Neurospora crassa OR74A: one gene and its partner. The protein of the gene in region 1 interacts with the protein of each later gene in a biochemical or structural test. Links are inferred from orthologs where the notes say so. Each region holds a gene or a part of one and is shown in the gene's direction. Other genes may lie near its edges. The genes, in order: NCU10397 and NCU06617.

Region 1 (11,397 bases):
TACAAACTCGGAACTGTGGTGTTCCTAGCTTACACTACTGCCTGATGGTGTCGCTAACTCACTGTCAATCACAACGCCGACGGAAACCAGCGGACGAGAAAAGCGCAGTGTTTCCGCTGAGAAACCCCAGATTGCAAACATGAAGGCTTGTCTGTAACGCAGCCAGCCATTCGGGTAAGTGGAAGGTATTGTCTTGGCTACCACCACGACGACGAACGATACCAGCCCGGCTACTACACTACCTATGTACCTAGCAGGGTCCCCTCTCTCAGCTCCCACACCACACACACACACACACTTTACAAACTGCAGAGCCAGGGCATCGTCCTGCACGCCTCTTTTGTCTTCTTTCGGCGACTGGAGGGACTTGGCGCTGTGATAACGACGGTCGGTGGCAGGGCGACTGGATAGGGCGATGGGGCGGGAAAGCTGTGTTGTGAGTTATCGGCGATGACAATCCTCTACACTATACTACACTACACTAGCCAGACACGCCCCCCTAGCCACGAGGAAGGCCTCGTTCTTTATTTTCTTTCTTTTGCAACTTCCATGCTTCTTTTGGCTTGATCTCATGCGGCGTTGTGTCTGCCTCGCTCGCCAATCAACCGCCAATGAACAACACTGCTACTGCTGTGTGATGACGGTGTAGGTAACATCAACAAGGCTCTGAGCTGCAGTTATCCGATCATCTAAATGGGCGGTACCTGAAAGATTGTAGGTTATAGACAAACAAGAGCACAAGGAGGTATCGAAGGCAAAATTGGTAAAGGTGAGAATACTTCGTTTACCCATTTCTTGCCATCCTCAATCCTCGAGTGAGATAGATCTATGTGGCATGTGTTACCCACCCCACCCCTGACAGCCGTCACTCCTTGAGCGTCTTCATTAACACCATCCACCAAGGTCTAAACTAGACGCCCATTACTCGATGCGTTTTGACCGTGGGCTACACAACGAACGGGCGCAAGGTGGTCTGTCTGCGGTTGTGAGACCCAAACCTCTGTAACGCACGTTGACCTGAACTTGTCAAGTTACGCCTCTCACGCAGTTGTCTTTCTTCCCCTTAGGCTCACCGAAATTTCTTGGTTGAGGTTCATGGGGTGAGGCCTGGATAGGTATGCTTCTTTCGTCCCTCGGGGCTCTGTGAAGATACTCTGAAACTAGGTATTCTGGAAAAACCCGCCTTACCTATACAAGTTACTGGTCAACCAACAATCGAAGAAGAGCATCCAACACCCCATAACTCAGCCGGACTAAACTGGACGGGACGGGACTGGACTGGACTGCATACACAACCCCCCCACAAGCGCTACGGTTGTGGTGCCTTTTGGGTTCATTGTGTTCAGCCGCATCATCACTCCCCTCGATTTCGGTCATCGATTTGGACATCCCGTGGGGTTCCCCCATTATCAACTGGAACTAAGACCGCGGAACTATCTCTCAAGATGAACGAACCAACGATATTCGAACAATCCATCCACTCGAAGGATAAGGATCCGGAGGTGGGCGAAGATGCCATTTATATGCCCGAGTATGGAGCGAATGGGAGGGGTCCGTCGCGGGTTGGTGAGGAGGGAGAGGAGGAGGAGGATTTTAGGGATTATGTGTTTCCTGAAGGTTAGTTAGTTTGACTTCTGATGACCTGCGTTTTCCGTCTCGGTCTTTTGAGTCTCTCTTCGGTCTCTTCCAAGTCTCTCTAATCTCTTTTCTGTCTCTCTTCAACCTTTCTCTTCGCCTCTCTCTTCACCTAAGGCTCTCCCTCTCTCCACGTTTCTTCACTTTCCATTAACACCCAATCCCAGAGCGAAAACTAGGAACATGGTCCACAGCCTTCCTCATTTTTAACCGCGTCGTCGGCGCCGGCATCTTCTCAACGCCATCCTCCATCATCCACAACACCAATAGCGTCGGCGCCACGCTTCTCTTCTGGGTGTTAGGTGGTGTAATGACCTTTTGGTGAGTTTTGTATCATCCTTTCTTACCTTGCCCTACACCATCTCTATGTACTTTCACCACTTTGACCACTCGAAAAGCGGCTAACTCGCATCCTCAACCACAAAAGCGGGCTAGCCGTCTACCTAGAATTCGGCACCGCCATCCCTCGTTCCGGCGGAGAGAAAGTTTACCTCGAACGCGTCTACCGCAAACCCAAATACCTAGCGACCTGCATCTTCGCCGTGCAATTCATCCTCTTCGCCATCTCCACCGTCGGCTCCGTTTCCTTTTCCTCGTACCTCCTCCGCTGCGTCCTCGGCTCTCCTGACACCACCACCACCGGAGGCACCGCGCAAGAAGATGCAACCAAATACGAAGGCACGTGGCTAAACCGGGGCATCGCCGTGGCAGCTATTACCGCCGTCTGCCTCATCCACGCATTCTTACCTAGGTTGGGCATCTGGCTATCCAATGGTTTGGGGGTGTTCAAGCTGGTGCTGCTGATCTTGGTGGTATGTACGGGGTTTGCGGCGTTAGCGGGGAATATGGAGGGAGAAAGCCCGAGAAACTTTTCGAGCTTTGATGGGCCGGGGGATGCCACGGGGAATGGAGACGACCAGACGGACGGGATGGGGAATAATGTCGCGGGCAGTGCGGCGGGGTATGCGTTGGCGTTGTTGCAGGTTTTGTATAGTTATGGGGGGTGGGAGAATGCCAATTATGTGAGTGACCCCTCGGAAGTGGGCGGTGATGGGTTGGTGAGGTAATGCTAACAACGGGTTTGTAGGTGTTGAGCGAAGTGAGGGATGCGCCGAAGACGTTGAGACTGGCGGCGCCGATTGCCATCGGGACGGTCACCGTCCTTTACGTCCTGGCGAACATTGCCTATGTGAGTATCCCCTCAAGTGTCTCACAAGAACTTCCATGACTGACAACACACAGTTCGCCGCCATGACCAAAGACGAACTCTCCAAATCCGGCGTCGTCCCCACCGCCATCTTCTTCACCCGCGTCTGGGGTCCCTCGGCCTTCACCGAGCGCGTCATGCCTCTCTTCCTCGCCCTCTCCGCGCTCGGCAACGTCTTTGCGCAATCCTTCGCCATGCCCCGTGTGAAGCAGGAGCTCGCAAAGGAAGGCACTCTCCCCTTCTCGCGCTTCTGGGCGAGCGACTGGCCCGAGCAAAAGTCGCCGACGGGCGCCATTTTGCTGCATTGGATCTTCACCGTGGCCTTGATCCTCGGATCCAGCACCAAGGACGTGTACCAGTTTCTGTCCAACATTTTTACCTACTCGGGCAACTGGATCAAGGTCTTCCTGGGGGTGGGGCTGCTGTATCTCAACTTTACGCCGAGCGAGAACTGGACGACGCCGGAGAACAAGCGGTTCCATAGTTATCCCGTCCTGACGGTGTTTTGGGTTGTCGGGCTGCTGTATACCTGTGCGGCGCCGTTTATCCCGAACACGCTGCTGACCAAGGTTCACTTTTCGGTGGTGCCGGCGCTGGGGACGGGCATGCTGGTTATCGGCGTCATGTATTGGGTGGTTTGGGCCAAGGTGTTGCCGGCGTTTGGGTTCTCTATACAGCACGAGGTGGTGGTGTTGCCGGATGGGAGTGAGAGGGTCAAGTATAAGAGGGTGAGGCCGAGGGGAGGTAGGAGTGGTGCGAGAGGGAGGAGGAATGGGGGGAGGGGAGGGGGGAGAGGAGGAGGAGGAGGAGGAGGGACGACTGTTGTGTGGAGGTGATAGGACGTGTGCACTTGTCGATGTAGAGAAGATACAACGTAGAATAGTAGATCAATGATTCGCGTCTTCGTTTCAGGAACAAGATAAAAGGGGATTTGTTTACTTTGGATGGAGTCTGTGTCCTTTTACCCCTTTTTTTTCATCTTTTTTTCCCTTGGAGCAGAGCCCCTTTTTCGGATGGCGCAAGCGCCCTGGGATCGATCTACTTTGGCCGGTGGAACTAGCACTAAGTGTCTGATCAACATGCCGGTGGGTTAGATCTTCGTGTTCACTTCCATGAATCCCCAATACGAGATGGACCATTGATATGATTTGGGGTGTCATGTTGATGGGAATCCCAACCGCCAAGACGAAACAAGAGCGGATGGGAACACTGTTTCAGCGGTCGTTGGCAGACGCCAAGTGCCTGTAGCAGGGCAAAGGAAAGGCGCTGTGGACGGACACACTGCAGCCGAGGCGGACAAGTCGGCCAGGTGGGGAACGGGACGCGGGGCTCCATCGGGCTTAGCGGATAGGTCCCGTTCAATGTGCCGTGCGAGCGGGTGTTGTTGTATCGAACAATTATTCCTTTCAGTGGACTGCGGCCCCCCCCCCCCCCCCCTGACAGCAGTGACGGCCAACCTCCACCTTCGGAACACCACTTGACACCACCCGGGCACCCTGGCGAGCGAGAGGAAGTGGTTTTGGTGTCCTTCTTGGGAATACTACCTCTACCACCACCACCACCACCACCACATTTCAGTCTCACTTGTCAACACCATAACGAGTAACGACCTAAGCGCGCCCGGCCCCGTCAGCCATGCTCCAGCAGCCCTACGCCGTCGACTCCGTTCATGTTCAAGTCCGATGAAGGCATTGCTTGCGCATGCATGCCTTGCTGCCCTCTGTATCCGTCCATTCTCCAGCCAGCCAGCCAGCCAGCTCCAGTTCCAAGTTAGCTTCCGTCTAGACTGAGTGTACCTACCTAGCTGCTCGATTCTCCCACCTACGCCTACGCCTCGCTTCACCACTTCAGCCTCGCCAGCCCGACATTGACTCTTTCCTCCCATAATCCCCGAGTCGATCTGCGGTCGACCCTCGTTGCGCCATAACCAATGTCTTGGGACTTGTTAAAGCGGTTCCTCGAGAGCGACGTCTTCAACCAAAACCCCTTTCTCTCCGTCTCCTACCTCTCGTCAGTCAGCCATTCCGTTTTGCCAAGATTCGCTACCCCTCCTCCTCCTCCTCCTCCCCCTCCTCCTCCTCCTCCTCTTTCTCTCCTCCTCACTCGGCGCGGCGCGTATCAGTACTGGCCTGGCAAGACACACACTAACATGACCGCACCGCCAGACGATATGCCGACCACATAGGAATTCACTATGTGCTGTGCAGCAAGCTGCGCCAGTTCCCCTACGAGGACATCGAGTTCTTCCTCCCTCAGCTCTGTCACCTTATCATCAGCATCGACAATGAGTCCATGGCCCTGGAGGAGTTTCTCCTCGACCTGTGCGAGGAGTCGGTCACAGCAGCCTTGTTGGTGCGCAGCCCTCTATACACCATCTGACGCTTTGCACGACTCCGAATTGCTGATATCTCGCCCGCTCGCAGACATTCTGGCTCTTCCAAACATACCTACACGACCTATCCGCTAATCCACAGGCCAATGCCTTCAAAATATGCCAGAGAGTGTACAACAAGGTGCAGCATATCGTCTTTGGCGTCTCCGACAGTGCAAGGAACGAGAAGATTACGGAAAACGCTTTGCCAGTGACTGTCCTAGGGAGCTTCGTTCTCGCCAGTATCGCCGCCCCGTTTCTCCCCCATTGGGCTGGCCCGCTTGCCGTCGCGCAAGCCAGAAAGCCCCGCCCTCAAGTCATCGAACCTGTGTTGGACGCTACTCCCGTCAACGCCGCCCCACCTGCTCGCGCGCATACCGTCACTGCTGGTACAACAAAATCGAGACGGGCAAAGGAGGCCCGCCTTACAAGCTCATCGGACCATCAGCTCCAGAGCAACAACAGCAGCCCGGTGGCGCATCGCCCCAAGCCCAAGATCAAGGAACCTCAGCCTGACTCCCGGCCGACGTCTTCGGGGTCTTCTATCAAAACGCCGGTAGAGACCAAGCGACCTACTCCTTTCGATTCCAACGTCTTGGAGGCGCGCCTTAGTTCATCTTCACTGCCTCTACCAACGTCGAATGCCAATTCTCCAGGTCTTGTACACAGGCCGACCACTCCGGCCCTGCGGCCAACGACTGGAGTGAACAGGAGGCACTCGCACCATGTCAAGACGCTCTTGAACCAAGCGGACATGAGCCGCACACAAAAGATGCGGCTACTAAAACAAAACTACTTCCACTGCCAAACAGCATTCCTGACCGCACTAGAGGATATTTCAAACCGACTAGTAATAGTACCAAAGGCTGCACGCCTAAGTGCCCTACGCGCTGAGCTGGCTCTAATCGCTCAAGAACTCCCGGCCGAGGTCGATATCCCAGTCATCTGCCCTCCTACTTTGGTCAACGGCTCTCCTTCGCAGAGCCGACATCACAGGATAGTCCGTCTCAACCCGGCTGAGGCCACGGTACTGAACAGTGCTGAGAAAGTGCCTTTCCTGCTTATGGTTGAGATTTTGAGAGAAGATCTCACATTTGACCCGGATTCTCAAGATAATCAGAGACTTCTGACACAGCTTTTGGTCGAACAAGGAACCAGGAGGCGGATTTTTGACCTTTCCGAGTCTTCTAGGATACCAGCCACACCCCGTTCACAGGAGCCCGTCATCGATAGTGTTTTTGAGCCTTCCTCGGGGGATCTAGGGCACTCGCCACTAATAAAACCGTTCAACGACGAGCCCTTTGCCATACAGCATAACCCCGTTCCTGGCGGTCTCCGCCATGCTGCCACTACTGGGACCAGCTCGACACAATTTGTTGATCTGACGTCAACGCCTCGCAGTTCTGGCACTTCGGGATCCTCTACCCCACCTTTCAGGAGGATGACCCTCCAAAGTCCGCGCAACAACGCGGCCGCCGACCAACCTGATTTCTCTGCCCTTGCCATCCATATGCGGACAGCCTCGCAAATGTTGGCGCAGTTGGATGCAACAAGTGGCAAGCGGCCGCGTCATGAAGTGGCCGCAATCAGGGCAAAGATTATTGCCAGCATGCAGAGTCTGGAGGAGGAGAGTTTTGAAGTCCATGATAGCCAAGGGCCGACCTTCGACATGATTATGGCCAAGGCCAGTGCAGAAAACGTTATCAACGGCAATGTCGCCACGGACGAAGAAATCGAGGCTCCCCTGGAGAAGGTCGAGTCTAACGTGAATCCAAACGCCGGTCTAGCAAGGATGGAAAACGATATCAAGACAGGCGGTCTCCAGCGCAAGGGCGATCGTGATGATCCCAGCGCTGCCGTCTTCGGAGAAGCTTGGGAGATGAAGAAGGAGCGTATCCGCAAGTCCTCTCCTTACGGCTGGATGAAGAACTGGGATCTCGTCAGCGTCATTGTCAAAACGGGTGCGGATCTCCGTCAGGAGGCATTCGCCTGCCAGCTGATCCGCGTGTGCCACAAGATCTGGGTAGAGCACAACGTGCCCGTCTGGGTGAAGCTCATGCGCATTCTTGTTACGGGCGAGTCGTGCGGTCTGATAGAGACCATTGCCAACGGCGTGTCGCTGCACTCCATCAAGCGCAGCTTGACACTGGCCACGGTCGAGTCCGGTCAAAACCCTAGGAGGAGGATCGCGACGCTCAAGGATCATTTCGTCAAGGCGTTCGGTTTGCCCGAGAGCCAGGCGTACAGGTCAGCTGTGGACGCGTTCAAGAGGTCACTGGCGGCGTATAGCATCATCTCATATGTGCTGCAGCTGAAGGATAGGCACAACGGTAACGTCCTTATCGATAATGAGGGGCACATCATTCACATTGACTTTGGCTTCATGCTGTCAAACTCGCCCGGTTCGGTTGGGTTCGAGGCGGCGCCGTTCAAGTTTACATATGAATATCTGGATGTGCTGGGTGGCGTGGACTCGCAGGATTTTGCAGACTTTAAGCAACTCTGCAAACAGGCTTTCCAGGGTAGGTTCTCTCTCTCTCATCACTCGTACCAGGCATAAATAACTAACGACTGTTATAGCCCTCCGTCGTTCAGCAGACAACATCATCGACCTCGTCGCCATGATGGGTCGAGAATCCAAGATGCCTTGCTTTGGTGCGGGCATCTCGCAGGTAACGACCTCGCTCAGGGCAAGGTTCCAGCTGCAGCTGAGTAAAGACGAGGCGGAACAGTTTGTGGAGACGGATCTAATTGCCAAGTCGTTGGGAAGTTATTATACGCGACTGTAAGTTGTTCGGGACAATACTTGATCCGATTGGAATGGGTATGCTAACAAAAGGCCTTAAACAGTTACGACACTTTCCAGTATAGAACACAGGGTATCTACTAGACAGATTTGCAGGATCTACAAGGGCGATTAGTCCCGTGTATGGGATATCACCTGAAACAGGAGACGCAGATGGGGAGGAGGGACGAAAGAAATTTGGAGAGGAATGAATGGAAAGGTCGGACGGATGAAAGAACGTATCGGTAATGGGATGGATGAATGGAGGAGACAAGGTGGAAATACCCCTTCGTTTTTGTATGAGGAGGGCATGGGAGGATCTAAACGTATATATCACACGGTGGGAATTCCCGATGTCAAAGCACGGCAAACTCCATAACGAAGAAGGCGAGCGAAGAGCGGAGAAGAAGGTGTTGAATTTTGGAAGGGGAAAGTTCAATCAATTCAAGAAAGGGCATCTCGGCGGCGTTTATAATGGGTACCACCATAGAGGCTTTTATGGATTATGATAGTGTCTTATCATACTAGTTACTATTCTATAAGCGGCATCCATGTGTTTACCAATTTTTTTTGGATTTTCTGTTTGGTTTGTTGTCTTTGAGTTTTTTGTTGCCTTGACTCCTTTGCTCACTTTCTCCGTCACTTCATGGTCTTTTCCCGTTCGTTCGTTTCCCCGTTCGTTTCGTACCTCCATAACTTCGGATGTTACTACATCGTCTGCTTCCTCTCTCTCTCTCTCTCTCTCTCTCTCTCTCTCTCTCTCTCTCTCTCTCTCTCTCTCTCTCTCTCTCTCTCTCTCTCTCTCTCTCTCTCTCTCTCTCCGTTTCCGAGATACGGGAGTTAGTCGTGTATCACCAAGATAGAAAAAAAAATAAAGATAAAAAAAGAATTACTGAAAAAAAAAAAAAACAAGGTGCGAATGGCAGCTTGCTTGTTTTGTTTCCACTTCTTGCATTCTATCTTCTTCTCCCACTTACTCTTTCCTCTCCTTTCCTTTTTTTTCTTTCCGCTTTATTGGTTTTCCTCCATCCTTCTTTACGCACTATGCTGGACTCACCGAACAGGTTCAAGGTCAGAAAATAGTCAGTAAAGTTTAAGTTGACAATTTAAATCCATCCACCTGCATCAGACGACCGACTAGACTAGAATGGTACATAGGCAAAAAAGTGGATTTCTTTTTTTCATGATACCATACCATACTTACTCGAGCTGGTTTGTCAAAGCGCAAAAGGGCGTGCAAATGCCAATTCGCCTAACCACCAAAAGATAGATGGAAGAATGTTTTGTTGGCTGGAGAGAACATCTAATGCACGCTTATATAGGTAGCTAATGTCACAGTTGAGCAACCTGTGACATGTTTGTTCAAAGCAGTATTAAACTCCACGTACGTCTGTTCTGTTCTGTTCTGTCTTTGTGGTATTGTATTAATCCTGATACGCCCGCCCGCCCTATCGTGCCCCTATGCCCCTATGCCCCTACGCCCCCGAACCCCCCAACCCCTCCCGAATTGGCCTTCCGACACACCCTATGTGGAAAAGATGGTTATGTAGTTGAAAACATAAAGAAGAAGAAAAAAAAAGGGGGATTGCAAAAAAGAGACCTATCCGCTCGCTCTTCTTTGATCGCTTGCTTCCGCCTATGTCTGTTGAAACACCCGACGTGATAAAAAGAAACTAATTATGATAAAATAAAGAAAAGGTATCATGTATACATCACACTACTAGTGGCATCGATCGTTGTTGTTGTTCGTCCCAATATCCAGATGACCGACCGTTATCCAAAATTGACCGGTATCCCCATCCTGTATCACTCATAACTCATCATCCTTTCTAGAAAAAGGAAACCGTTTCCCCCCCCCCGCTTAATGCCCATGATGCATCCCTCCCATTCCCCCACCACCACCACCGCCACCACCTCCGCCAGCACCCACCCCAAACATCCCGGCAAAACTATCCAACCCCCCACCGCCTAATGCTCCTCCAAGACCGCCCAGCGTATCCCCCCCAATCTCCGGCGGTTCCATATTAAACGGCATGAACCACGCCGAGCTCGGCTCGTTCGAGAACGCTGCATGTAACCCGTCTGGCCCATCCCTCCCATTCTCACTATCATGCCCCCCTCCCCAACCCCCAGCGCCACCACCACCACTGCCGCCGCCGCCGCCGCCTACCAGCCCTGGCTCATGGTGTAAGCCGGCAGATGTGGGACCGCCGTAAGCGCCAAAGACGAGCTGGCGGTCCAGGTGGCTCATGCCGTGGGCGTGAGCGGCGCCGAGGTGGGCGGGGAGAGAGAAGGGGTCGGGAGGGAAGAAGGAGCCAGGGTGGTGGTGGGAAAGGTGGGCGTGGGAGACACCGACGGGGGAGACGGGGGAGAAGTGCGCTTGTTGTTGAGCTTGGACGGAGAGGGAGTTGAAAGAACCGGGTGGACCGCTGGTTTGGATGGGTGAGGGGCCGGCGCCGGAGAAATTGCGTTGGTGTTGCAGGCGAGCAGCGTGGATTTGTTCGGCGGTTGGTGGAGGGTGTTGTTGTTGATGTGGGGAGAATTCGGCTTGTATGGGGTCGGGGCCGTTGGGATGGTTCTGCTGTGGTAGGCCGCTGATTTTGCGTGTCATGGCTTTGCGTTTGAGTTGTTGTTGTTGTTGGGCTTGTTGCTGCTGTCGTGATGCTGTTGATCCGTTCACGCTACCCCCGTCCCCGCCGCCAGCTTGTGGGGAGAGCGTGGTGAAGAACTCCTCGACTGTGTGCAGCTCGGGCTTCTGTTCCAGAACTGCATCGTCGCCTTTCTCCTTCTTCTTGTAGATGGCGGGGTCGAGAAAGTCGGACTGCGAGACACCGTGGGGATAACGGTCAAACCAGTCGCCGTATTGGAAGATGGATGTCGGGTTCTCGTTTGCGGGTGTACCCTGCCTGGCAGCATCGGCACAGGTCCGGTACTGCTCCCGTAGGTTCTCTGACATCCAGTGGAACATGCCCCAGTACTTCTTCATCTTGGATAGGAACTTGACGTTGGTAGCCAGGTTGCGCTTCGATGTTGCCTCTAGCGTTGGGTTACCCGAAAAAATTCCAAAGATGTGCACGGTACTGGACAGGAAGGCACAATATCCTGTAAAGGGCGCAGTCACAAAGTGTGATTCAGCATCCTTCAACAGCTCTGATACCCTGTTAGCAGCAGCGAATGCTTTGGCGCCTGCTTTCGTCACAAAAGCCTTGGGGATTTCCTGGTCCGGTTGACCCCGAGGGGACGAGACAGCGAATCTATTCATGAACAAGATATTCTGTTGAATCGCGATGTGAAGAAACAGAAATTGGTTGGCCATGTTGTCAGTTTCGTGCAGGTGTAGATTGTCGGGTGTGTATAGTAAAGAGTCGGGCAAATCGGTCAGAATATCCTCTGTCTGTT
Region 2 (10,408 bases), on another chromosome or scaffold:
TCGTGCTTGGTCGACCACTGCAGACGCTGCTGATAGCCAGGACATACGATTTGCTTAAGGGCACAGTTCTTGCAACCTGGTTTTGTTTCGTCGCATCGTAGCTATACCCTCGGGAGTCAGTACACTCGGCTCTGCGTCGATCATCGCCGTCATCCACAACTTCAGATCGATACGGCATGATGGGGAACGGCCGAAGAGAATTAGCAGAAAGATCACCTACACGTCTTTGCTTGCAGTTACGGCAGCCACTGCGGCTCTTCTGTCTATTCTTCATCGGGGCACGAGTTTGCGCCATGCTCAGTCGGTTCTAATATAGCTTGATGTCACCTTTCTCGATTATCGCCTCGTCTATCGCACAAGCAGGTGCCGGATACACCAACTCGCCAAGGTGTGAGAAGAAATCTGGAAATAGACCTTGTGGTCGAAGTGATCCAGGCGGTGTTGAGGATCGATAGGAGCGGGAATAAGACCAATCCATGCCATGGTCAATGCCACTAGTGATGGGGATGGGGGGAATTTGTCAGAAATTGTAAGGATGCGCAAAGTAACGGAAATTACGGAAAAAACACATGACTATTTCCGCCAAACTTTCCACACATAATACGTCTAGATGTAAGTGCTCCGGAACACGGATATGGTTACAAGTCCCAGGTTTTTGCTTCATCTAGATCAAAATACTACTTTCATAGGTGGCGACGCAGACTGTTGGTTCTCAAGTGTAGGCCGTTATATTTCCCATTCTTGGTTAGTCGCTGACGTTAGTACCTTGCAGTGAGAAAGGGAATGGCAATTTGGGTGATGAGCTGCACGGGCTGTCTTTTTGTACTTTGGAAATTTTGATGTGTTTGGAATTTCGATAAATTTGGAAATCTTGTTATTTTCTTACATATCGACCATCAATACATCCCACCCTCGTTCCGACCTCTAGGATCGCTGTGATACACCAAAGTGACGGGGACGAGGGGGCGGCGACGTAACAGAAAGACTAGATCTTGTGTGTCAAGTGTTATCGACAGTAAGAGGAAGAGATGATTGACTGATAAGGCCGTTCATCGTGGCCAATGGTAATGGTCCCGACAGTTATAGTTAGCTCGATGCGGGTATGCATCGTCAAGCGGGATTGGTCCACTAGACATATCGGATCAACGGGGGTTGAACCCAAGGAACGTGAGCTGAAGAAAGGCTGTTCTTCTGTTAGAAGCCTATGGACGCGAGGCGCTTCTAGCCCTGACAAATATAGCTGTACAGTTATGTTCCTTTTGATCCTCATGAAGGGAGTGAAAGATGGCGGTCAATCGGAGGTCTTCAAGCCACGACAATGCTATGGACCAGGTTAGCGGGGCGAAATATATAGTGTGGTAATCTCGCCGTAAACTGGAGACTGATGCTGATGAGACCTTAAGAGTAAGCCAGAGATGACAAGAGCCTGGGTGTTACGTTTCAGTAGAGGGAACCGGACAGCGAGCGGGTGATGAGGGGAAGTGAAAGGCAACTCTGATATCTGTAGGATAGATAGCATAGGTATAGCAGATAACGTAGCTTGTCCCCGATTTCGGGCGATTCTTATGCATCTTGTCTCCCCGGATACAACCAATGTCGGCGGGGACGGCTCTTCCCACAATGTCCAGGATCCACTGCCATGCGCCTTCCTTGTTCTATTTTAGACTACCCGTCGCTTATTGACGGGTAAGGTGAAATTGGTTGCTTCGTCTCTTTTTCCTTCGACCAGGCTTGTGTGGAGTGGCCTGTGCGATCGTCGTGTTCATTTCCAAGCTCTTCATTATGACTGCCATCAGCTTTTGCTATTTGAAGTCTGATATCAGTATAAGTACTGTTTGTAGCTTTTCGGGTGGCTGTAGGTGTGAAGTTGAAGTCGGATCGCGAATCCAGAGTGCAGTTGTCGCCCCTTGTCGAATGGTTGCCAGTGGCTGGGGAACGGGAGGAAGATACAAAATGGTGGAGTGGAGTGGAATGGACGTAGAGGAGAGAATCATGCTACCCGGTGCCCGTACGTGTAATTTACACAAGGGATGGGAGCGCGGACATCCAGCTGGACTTGTCACCGGACATCTGTATCTACGCTTATAGGCTTGAAATCTGAGAGTCACTAACAACAACAATTACAGGCAAGATGGCCGAGCGGTCTAAGGCGCTGTGTTCAGGATATCTGAGTATCGCAGTCCGAAAGGGCGTGGGTTCGAATCCCACTCTTGTCACTAATCTTTTGCTATTTTTTCTGATTCCATTGTGGAAACCGCCTCTCATGTCTTTCTTTTTGTTTCTTAGGAATTGAGACGAAACGAATTCGAGACTTTGCTCAAAAGGTATAGTTGAACAGATGTAGGAACTTGAGGCATCTGATTGTAAAATCGGGAAAGTACAACTAGAGCGTTACGATGGGTTGGTGGGAATGGTAAGGGTACCTGAAAGGGTCTAGATGTTACCTGAACAGAATGTTTCAACTTTCAAGACCCAAGCTGCAATATTCAAGATCGGGAGTGCCATGATCAGAAAGAACAGGTAATGGATGTGGCAACGCCTAGGAACGTTAAGCGTAGGTTTCGACAAGCAAATAAACCAGTGATGAATTGTACATATAAATATATATGTAGCCAGGCCCAAACCTCATAACCAGACACACAGAAACTGACAAATGTTAGAGATCATCAAATCCTCATAAAGACCATTCAACCTCCCTATCAACTCTTCACAACCCGACCTGACACCTGCTTCAACCTAGAGTCTACTAGCAGCAGCCAAACTTCTCTCCCCATCAACCAACACACACCACCCCTCCCCTCCCCAGCCTCCCTTCCCAGCCACGACCGCCTGGAAATTCTCATTCGCATATGCCAATACCTCATCATTGAAAGTTCCCGGCTGGAGCCAGACAGCAGGCACGCCGAGCTCCTTGGCCTCCTGGAGCGTCTTGAGCGTGATGGCGGGACCGGTAATGATAGAAACCGACGTCTCCTTGGGGTTCTCGAGCTCCGAGAGGGACTTGATGGCTGGGTAGGGTTGCCCGTTGACAGTGAGGGTGGCGCCCTGGGGGTTGATGGGCGTGGCGGGGAGGTCACGGTCTGCATACCATTTGAAGACTGGATAGGTGTTAGTGGTGTGTGGATAATGTGGGTGGAGGTTGTGGGTAAGGGATGGATGGGGACACGGGAGAAGAAAGGACGAAACGAACCTTTGTAACCGAACTTCTCCGTGTTAGTGCTGGCGCCGACTACGGCGAACCTGGGGGAGGAGAAGAAGATCTTGGCCGTTGCGTCGCTGGCGGACATTTTGAGGTTTGGTGTTGACGTAAAGAAGTGGTGTTGTTGATAGCTTGGGGTGATATAGTGTGGTAGATGCTGTTGAAAGCGGGCTGGATATCTTGTGCTAGGTTTGAGGATGTGTTTTAGAAACACAAAAGGAGACTGCGATATCAGGGACATAAGGTCGGTTTATATGTTTGCCGGAAAGACTAGTTCCCTGACAAATAATCAAAGTTGCACCAAGGTGAGCTTAGGTTGTCAAGTTGCCCACTCTATTCTAGGACATGTCTCCATGGCGACATTCGGGTGTTGATGGAGTTAGTTGACCTCGCCGTCGAGGTGATGCTATTTTCCCGTGTCTACGCCCCCTGGGCCCCTGAGCAGATCCCGTAGGAAGCTAACCACTCAAACAGCCATATCCCAGGCAACCCCGCGCTATCTACGAGGACCCCGATGACGTGCCCACCGCGTGCCGTAGGGGTACCTGTGATGTTGGTGCGCTCAGCCCCCACCACAACTATGTAATCAGTAATTGATCCTGATGGTTTCTTGTGTAACTGCATATCTTCGGGTATTGGATTATCGACATCTATCCAATGGCGACATCTTTCATCGAATGCCCGTTCCTGATTTGGAATTGTTCCAATGTCGCAGTTGCTGTTCGGTGAATCAAGGTCAGGTGATGTAACGCAACCGAGGCTTCGACGGAAATCGTCGGATCCGTGAACTTCGGCGATCAGTCACTTGTTCAGAGAACCAAAGGATCATTCGGAATGCCGGCGCGGGTGATGCCTGGGAGGAGCGAGCCAAGGAAGGATGATAAGGATGTCGCCATCCATGAGCCGTCTCAACGCCTCGGTATTGGATATAAAAAGCCTTGTGCCGTTGACGGGAGAATTCAGCTTGCCTGTTTCCCCAGACAATATTGGTATCACAACATCAGGCACAGAATTCCACAACGGACTATCTTACTGACCACTCGGAGTTAATTTGGATCCACTGTTTGTGATTTGGTGCGTTTGTTTGGGTGGTCTTTGAGAATGTCCATCTTCGGGTAAGTCTCCACCTCTTGTTTACATACTTGCCTACTGACAGCATTGGCGCATTGCTTACTGTAATCATTGACATGTTTCCACGATAGCCGCTCGACGTTCTCCTCTGCTGGGTATGCTGCCTTTCGGCCCTCATATCCCTCGGTTCTTTACGACCGGGTGTTGAGATTTCACGGCAAAGAGGCCCCTTCCTCCCCATCACCATCGTCGTCTTCGCCGGCAGCTGGAACACTGCTAGACCTTGGCTGCGGACATGGCTTAGTGGCGCGCGCACTCGCTCCCTATTTCAACCGTGTTATCGCCCTTGATCCTTCGGCCGGCATGATTGAACAGGCTCGCAAGCTAACCGGCGACAACTCCAAGATTACGTTCAAGCAAGGCGGAGCCGAGGACCTTTCTTTCCTTGACGACAATGCCGTTGACTGTGTGGTTGCTGGCCAAGCGGCGCATTGGTTTGACTACTCCAAGGTCTGGCCAGCACTTGCACGGGTCGTGAAGCGCGGCGGAACCCTGGCTTTCTGGGGTTACAAGGACCACATCATCGTTGGGCGGCCGGAAACAACGCCCATCTTTGACAGGTTCATCTACGGCGAGACAGAGCCGGTGCCGGGCGTGGAAAGCATGATGTGCTTTTGGGAACAACCCGGCCGGAACATATTACGGGATTCACTGCGGGAGGTGGTCCCTCCCGAGAGGGAATGGGAACATGTGGTCCGTATTGCTTGGGATCCCAATCGTGAGACGGGCGACATTAGCGATGCTCCGGAAGAGGCCACTTGGTTGCGTCGGAGGCTCAAGTTGGGCGAGTTGGCGAGCTATATTCGCACGTTCAGTGCCTTCAGTGGTTGGGGAAGCGCCCATCCCCAGATGAAGTGCAGGGCGGACGGAGGAGAGGGCGACATTGTTGACTTGATGTTTGACGAGGTTGTTGCTGCGGTGCCGGAATGGAAAGCGGCGGGGGATCGATGGGCCGAAATCGAGGTTGATGCTATTTGGGGAACCGTTTTGTTGATGGCGAAGAGACGATGAACTGGAAAGGTAGTGTACAATTAAGTGTGGTGAAGAGACGATACTGTACAGTGGTGGTGGCTGACGTTGAACCTGCTATCCGGGCAGTATCACCGGCCCCCTTGCGTAACCAAGGTGCTCTCTGTCAGTAGATGTCTCTCTCGATTGAGCTAGCGGGCATGCAGTGCTGCTGTATCGCGAGTTGTCACCAGTGCCAGTGGGTGGTTGCCCTCCATTGGCTGCCACCGCGACCGGGATGCGGGCGCATAAGGTCGGGTACTGCGTAATGGCACAGACCAGTCAGCGCAACTCCCTGTCCGCAGCTCATTTCGCGGCGGGAAGGGAAGCCCAAATCGATCGCCCACTCCTTTTGCATCTAGCCTTGGTTCGCTTCTTGACCGTTCTTCTGAATAGCATCATCTTTCGCATCGAATCCATCAGCCAGCGTACTTGCATCGACTAGCCCTTGCGTCCTCTTTTGCGCATTCAAACGACATTCCCCCCCCTGAGACACAATGGTAAGTGGACCTGTCCCTGTTCATCCGCCGCGGGCACTGGCACGCGCGCGCGCCCCTCTCCATCCCTCCATCCCAAGTCCCAACCCCGACGCACGGAAACAGAAAGCATGCGAAAGCAAGAGCCAGGAACCCCGCGGTTGCCCATGACAACAAAGGCACAAGGTGCCACAACCTTGGAAGCCGCAGCGTTCTGCGTTGAATCGGAGCACTACCTGTAAAATGCGCCTGCGCCTGCGCCCGGCTTGAGCGTTGAGCTGCCAGGTCCTGCTTCGGCATCCATCCATCACAGACCAAAAAAACACCATTCATTTTGCCAACTTTCGATCGCATCGCTGCTCCCTTGCCGCTTGGGTTTCTGCGCCTTGTTCTCGCAACCATCGCCCTCGTCCTCTCGATTGCCGACTCTAGCACGATCGCAAAGCCAGCGCTTTTGCTTACGCTCAACCTACCGCGATTTACTACATACCCGCATTCTTGAAAGAACATTTCATTGCGACAGCGCAACTCAGGAATCATGGCATCTAACCAGTTCGACGGTCAGGCTTCTACCAACTACAAGGAGGCGTTCTCCCTGTTCGACAAGCGCGGCAACGGCCGTGTTGCCCTCGACAGCTTGGGTGACCTGCTCCGCGCTTGCGGCCAGAACCCCACGCTCGCCGAGATCCGCGAGCTCGAGAAGAACGTTGGTGGTGATTGTGAGTAATACCCGAGCGGAAACAAGTAGTTCATCTGAGATTAGTTACTAACAGATGCCCTTCTCATCCGACAGTCGACTTCGAGACCTTCCAGCGCGTCCTCAACCGGCCAGGTGGCTTCCGTGATCCCGGCGAGCCCGAAGAGTACTGCCGCGGTTTCCAGGTGTTTGATAAGGACATGACGGGTTTCATCGGCGTTGGACAGCTCAAGTACATCTTGACAAACCTTGGCGAGAAGATGACGGACGAGGAGGTAGACGAGCTCCTCAAGGCCGTTGATACTAGCTCCGGCCAGGTGAACTATACCGGTATGTCAGCCTCAGCACTTGCTGTTTGCTTGCCCTTTGCGTGAAACCTAGGAGTCTCGACTAACAATATGTGTACGACGCAAACAGAGCTTGTCCGGACCATCCTTGCCAACTAAAATATTGAGTAGAGGTGGTACGGAATGATGACGAGGGAAACTGGGTTTGGAGGTCAAACATCATGGGGCATAGTCGAATAGAAATCGCGGGACAAATCCGTCCACGGAGAAGGCGTCATATACCATCTATTACAGGGAAATCGCATGTGTTATAATCCAGGCAGGCGTCGGAGTCTTGATAAGATATGAATTTGGACATATCATTTACCGGGAACTGAAAGGCTTTCCGGACGTGTGTCTTAACCAACTACGCTAGATTGGGTTCCACGCCTGATCTTTCTTCCGTCCCCTTCTCTTGCGTGACGGAGGCGTGTTTCCAAGTATACGTTGTTTGCCCAGTACTCAGCAGTACAATATTCGTCATGAATCCCTTTTCGCTCTACTCGAAAAAGGGCTCGACCCTGTCAGTTTGCTTCGGGTAAGGCAAATGACATGAAACATCACAAAGGATGAATATGAGAAAACAAGGCCCTGGAGTTTGTATAGTCACTGGAAACAAGGCCAAACACGTTTCCGTCTTCCTTCGAATTCGGGCTCAAAGGGGATGTGGGGATTCCGATGTCCCTTTTCCGGCCTTCAGTCTGGGTACGGTCAGGAAGTGGAAGCAAGGTGTATCACTTGGCGGTATCTTTGGAGATGTTAATTCCTGTGTTGGATGACCAGAGAGGGGGTAACCAGTACTCAAATACTGCATTATCTAAAGCATCTATGTAATGTTCCTGCAGTAGACTGGTAACTTACAATGTCCGGTCGCGGAAGCCGGACATCTTGGACATTTCCCCAGCGGCTTGCATCGGTCTTGTCAATTATGGAGCCCCTGTCCTCCGCTGACGGCCATCACCCGTGCCTTCTTTTCCCTCGGCTAAGTAGTGAAGAACTGAAGGAACTGTCCTAAATGACACCATCTCTATCCCGTATTTGCAAGGCTGGGCATTTTCTTGACTGATCACGCAATTTGGCGAGAAATTTTCTGATCAAAATTTCAACGGGGAACTACGTTGCCGCCTCTTGTCTGTTCGACAGCCAAACCGATATCTACCAACAATCACGACGACCTCGACGACGGACGACACTCAAACATACAAGCCGCGGACGACATCTGTTTGCCCTCAACAACATCAAAATCGATGATGACCACTGAGCAAATTTCGAAATTCACGCAAACGACAGACAATCATAACGAAGACAGGCACCATCTGGATGGGTGGGACATGCTCCAACAATGGCTTCGAATGGGTGATTCACGTTTGGATGTGGAGGTATCTTGGGAGTTGCTTGGATCTATCGCACTGGACATATAAGCACAACATCTCGCCACGTTATCGACCATTTTCTTTCTATCATCATCAGCACCTGGGAAGGGACAGGAGAAACTCGTTCAGCTATCGTCACCGACCCTGACTTCATCTCACGACTCACGCCTACGAAACGCCATGACAGGAATGTACGACAACCCACCCCAGCCCCCAGGGCTCCGAAACCATACCCCAGAAAGCGTTACTGCCGCCTTCGAAGCATGGGCCGACAAACACCGTGCTGCGCTAGATGCGATCGTAGCCGATGTCAACCTGAGTGACCCGCAGACTGTCACATTTGAGAACGTCATGCGCCCCCAACTCGAGTTTGAGAATCAAAAGTTCTCGCACAACTTGCGCTTTTACCAGCACGTTTCTGAGAACAGCGATTTGCGGGAGACCACTCGCAAAATGGCAAAATGGTACGATAACATCTGGACGGACATGAACATGCGCGGGGACGTCTTCCGTGCGAGAGAAGTCCTGTATCACAAATCTGGTCTCGCGGCAAGTAGGAAACAGAATTCCGCTCGGTACATAACCGAGGACATTGCAAAGAATGCAGGTTTTGAGGATGCTGAGAGTGCTATCGCTCTGGAGGAAGAGTGGAAAGAGGCAATCAGGTTAGGATTGGGTTTACCGTCCAAACCCCAGCGTGATCGCTTCAATCAAATTCAAAAGCGCGTGGAGGCAATCAAGAGCGAGTTCAAGAACCACCACGCTTCTGATAAAGGCTGCAACTGGTTTACCCCTGCAGAGTTGGATGGCATGGACAACGATATTATTGACCAGTTGGCGAAGGGAACGGGCGAGAATGAAGGCAGACTTAAGGTCACCTTCGACCCCAGTCATTACGACATCTTTCTCAGAGACGTCAAGAACTCGGAGGCTCGAAAGCGCATGTGGACTGCCATGGAGAACAAAGTACGCTGTACATGGTAAGTGGTTACTGATGCTTACAAAAGCCTACTGACAATGCCCCGTTAGTGCCCAGAAAACGTCCCGCTCTTTAAAGAAGCCATGCTTCTCCGAGACGAGGCTGCTCGCCTCTTGGGTTACCCAGATCATGCCACATTGAGGATTGAAAGCCGAATGGCGAAGACACCTAGGGCTGTCAACAACTTGCTGAATGACTTACGAACCCGCCTTGCACCCCTTGCCACCAAAGAGCTCAACCAACTACTACAAACTAAGAAGAAGGACTGCGAGACTCGAAACTTGCCGTTTGATGGCAGTTTCTATCACTGGGACTGGGCTTTCTACGCCTCCCAAATTTCCAAGCAAGAACATGACCTTGACAACAAGAAGGTTGCCGAATACTTCCCGATCGATTCCGCAATCACAGGCATGCTCCGCCTCTTTGGGGTGCTCTTTGGCATCGTTTTCGTTAGGTTGACCGCAGAGGATCTTGAGCGTATCTCCCCTACTGGCGTCGCCGATGATGTCATGTATCACAGGGACACTATCATGTTTAGTGTGTGGAATGACGAATCCGAGGGTAATGACTTTCTGGGATACCTTTACATCGACGCCCATCCACGCGAGGGCAAATACAGACACGTAGCAAATTTCCCCCTGGAACTTGGGCACCAGAGAACGGACGGTACGAGGTTTTACCCATCCACGGCTATTGTTTGCAACTTCCCTGCGCCAACCAAGGACAAACCGTCACTCCTTGACCACGAACATATTGTTGACCTATTTCATGAATTGGGACATGGGATTCACTCTCTGGTTTCACGCACTCGCTTCTCTCGTCATCACGGGACAGCAGGCAAGCGAGACTTTGTCGAAGCCCCTAGCCAGATGCTTGAACATTGGACATGGAGAGCCGAGTATATCAAACGCATCAGCAAACATTATTTAACAGGCGAGCAGATGTCTGACGACATGGCCGAGCGGATTGCGGCAAGCAGACATTTCCTTCAGGCGTTGAGGAACTTGTGGCAGTTATCATCCGCGATTTTTGACATGGAGGTTCATTCGCCCAAATCACGCGCTGCCCTTGAAAACATGGACTTTACCAAGCGATACAACGAATTGAGAAACGAACTAACAGGAATGAAGGGACCCGAAGCTATTGGTGAACCGATGTAAGCTCTAATGCTGTCAACCTCATTACTTCCTTCGTATCTTGGTAGGTATCTGACAGTTCA

Evidence for each region.
Region 2: the proteins of NCU10397 (region 1) and NCU06617 form a complex in vitro, tested with the Schizosaccharomyces pombe proteins (2 studies listed by BioGRID). The link is inferred for Neurospora crassa OR74A from reciprocal best matches to the Schizosaccharomyces pombe genes pik1 and cdc4.

Annotation. Positions count from the first base shown.
Region 1 is NC_026503.1:1,281,684-1,293,080, forward strand, and holds NCU10397 (phosphatidylinositol 4-kinase PIK1a), read left to right. Parts: upstream 1-4,341; 5' UTR 4,342-4,772; coding exon 4,773-4,852; intron 4,853-5,007; coding exon 5,008-5,194; intron 5,195-5,265; coding exon 5,266-7,735; intron 7,736-7,793; coding exon 7,794-7,998; intron 7,999-8,063; coding exon 8,064-8,103; 3' UTR 8,104-8,565; downstream 8,566-11,397. Other genes in the region: NCU10675 (methionine permease), read left to right, coding at 1,446-1,617, 1,803-1,956, 2,063-2,657, 2,723-2,824, 2,878-3,678; vad-3 (zinc finger transcription factor 1), read right to left, coding at 9,860-11,397. UniProt on the Schizosaccharomyces pombe protein: Acts on phosphatidylinositol (PI) in the first committed step in the production of the second messenger inositol 1,4,5,-trisphosphate. PIK1 is part of a nuclear phosphoinositide cycle and could control cytokinesis through the actin cytoskeleton.
Region 2 is NC_026504.1:1,810,522-1,820,929, forward strand, and holds NCU06617 (myosin regulatory light chain cdc4), read left to right. Parts: upstream 1-5,704; 5' UTR 5,705-5,835; coding exon 5,836-5,838; intron 5,839-6,379; coding exon 6,380-6,533; intron 6,534-6,607; coding exon 6,608-6,841; intron 6,842-6,928; coding exon 6,929-6,957; 3' UTR 6,958-7,202; downstream 7,203-10,408. Other genes in the region: NCU06614 (hypothetical protein), read right to left, coding at 1-101, 221-295; NCU06615 (hypothetical protein), read right to left, coding at 2,737-3,098, 3,191-3,440; NCU06616 (S-adenosylmethionine-dependent methyltransferase), read left to right, coding at 4,301-4,314, 4,402-5,341; NCU06618 (metallopeptidase MepB), read left to right, coding at 8,391-9,176, 9,240-10,349. UniProt on the Schizosaccharomyces pombe protein: Involved in cytokinesis. Required for the formation and function of the contractile ring.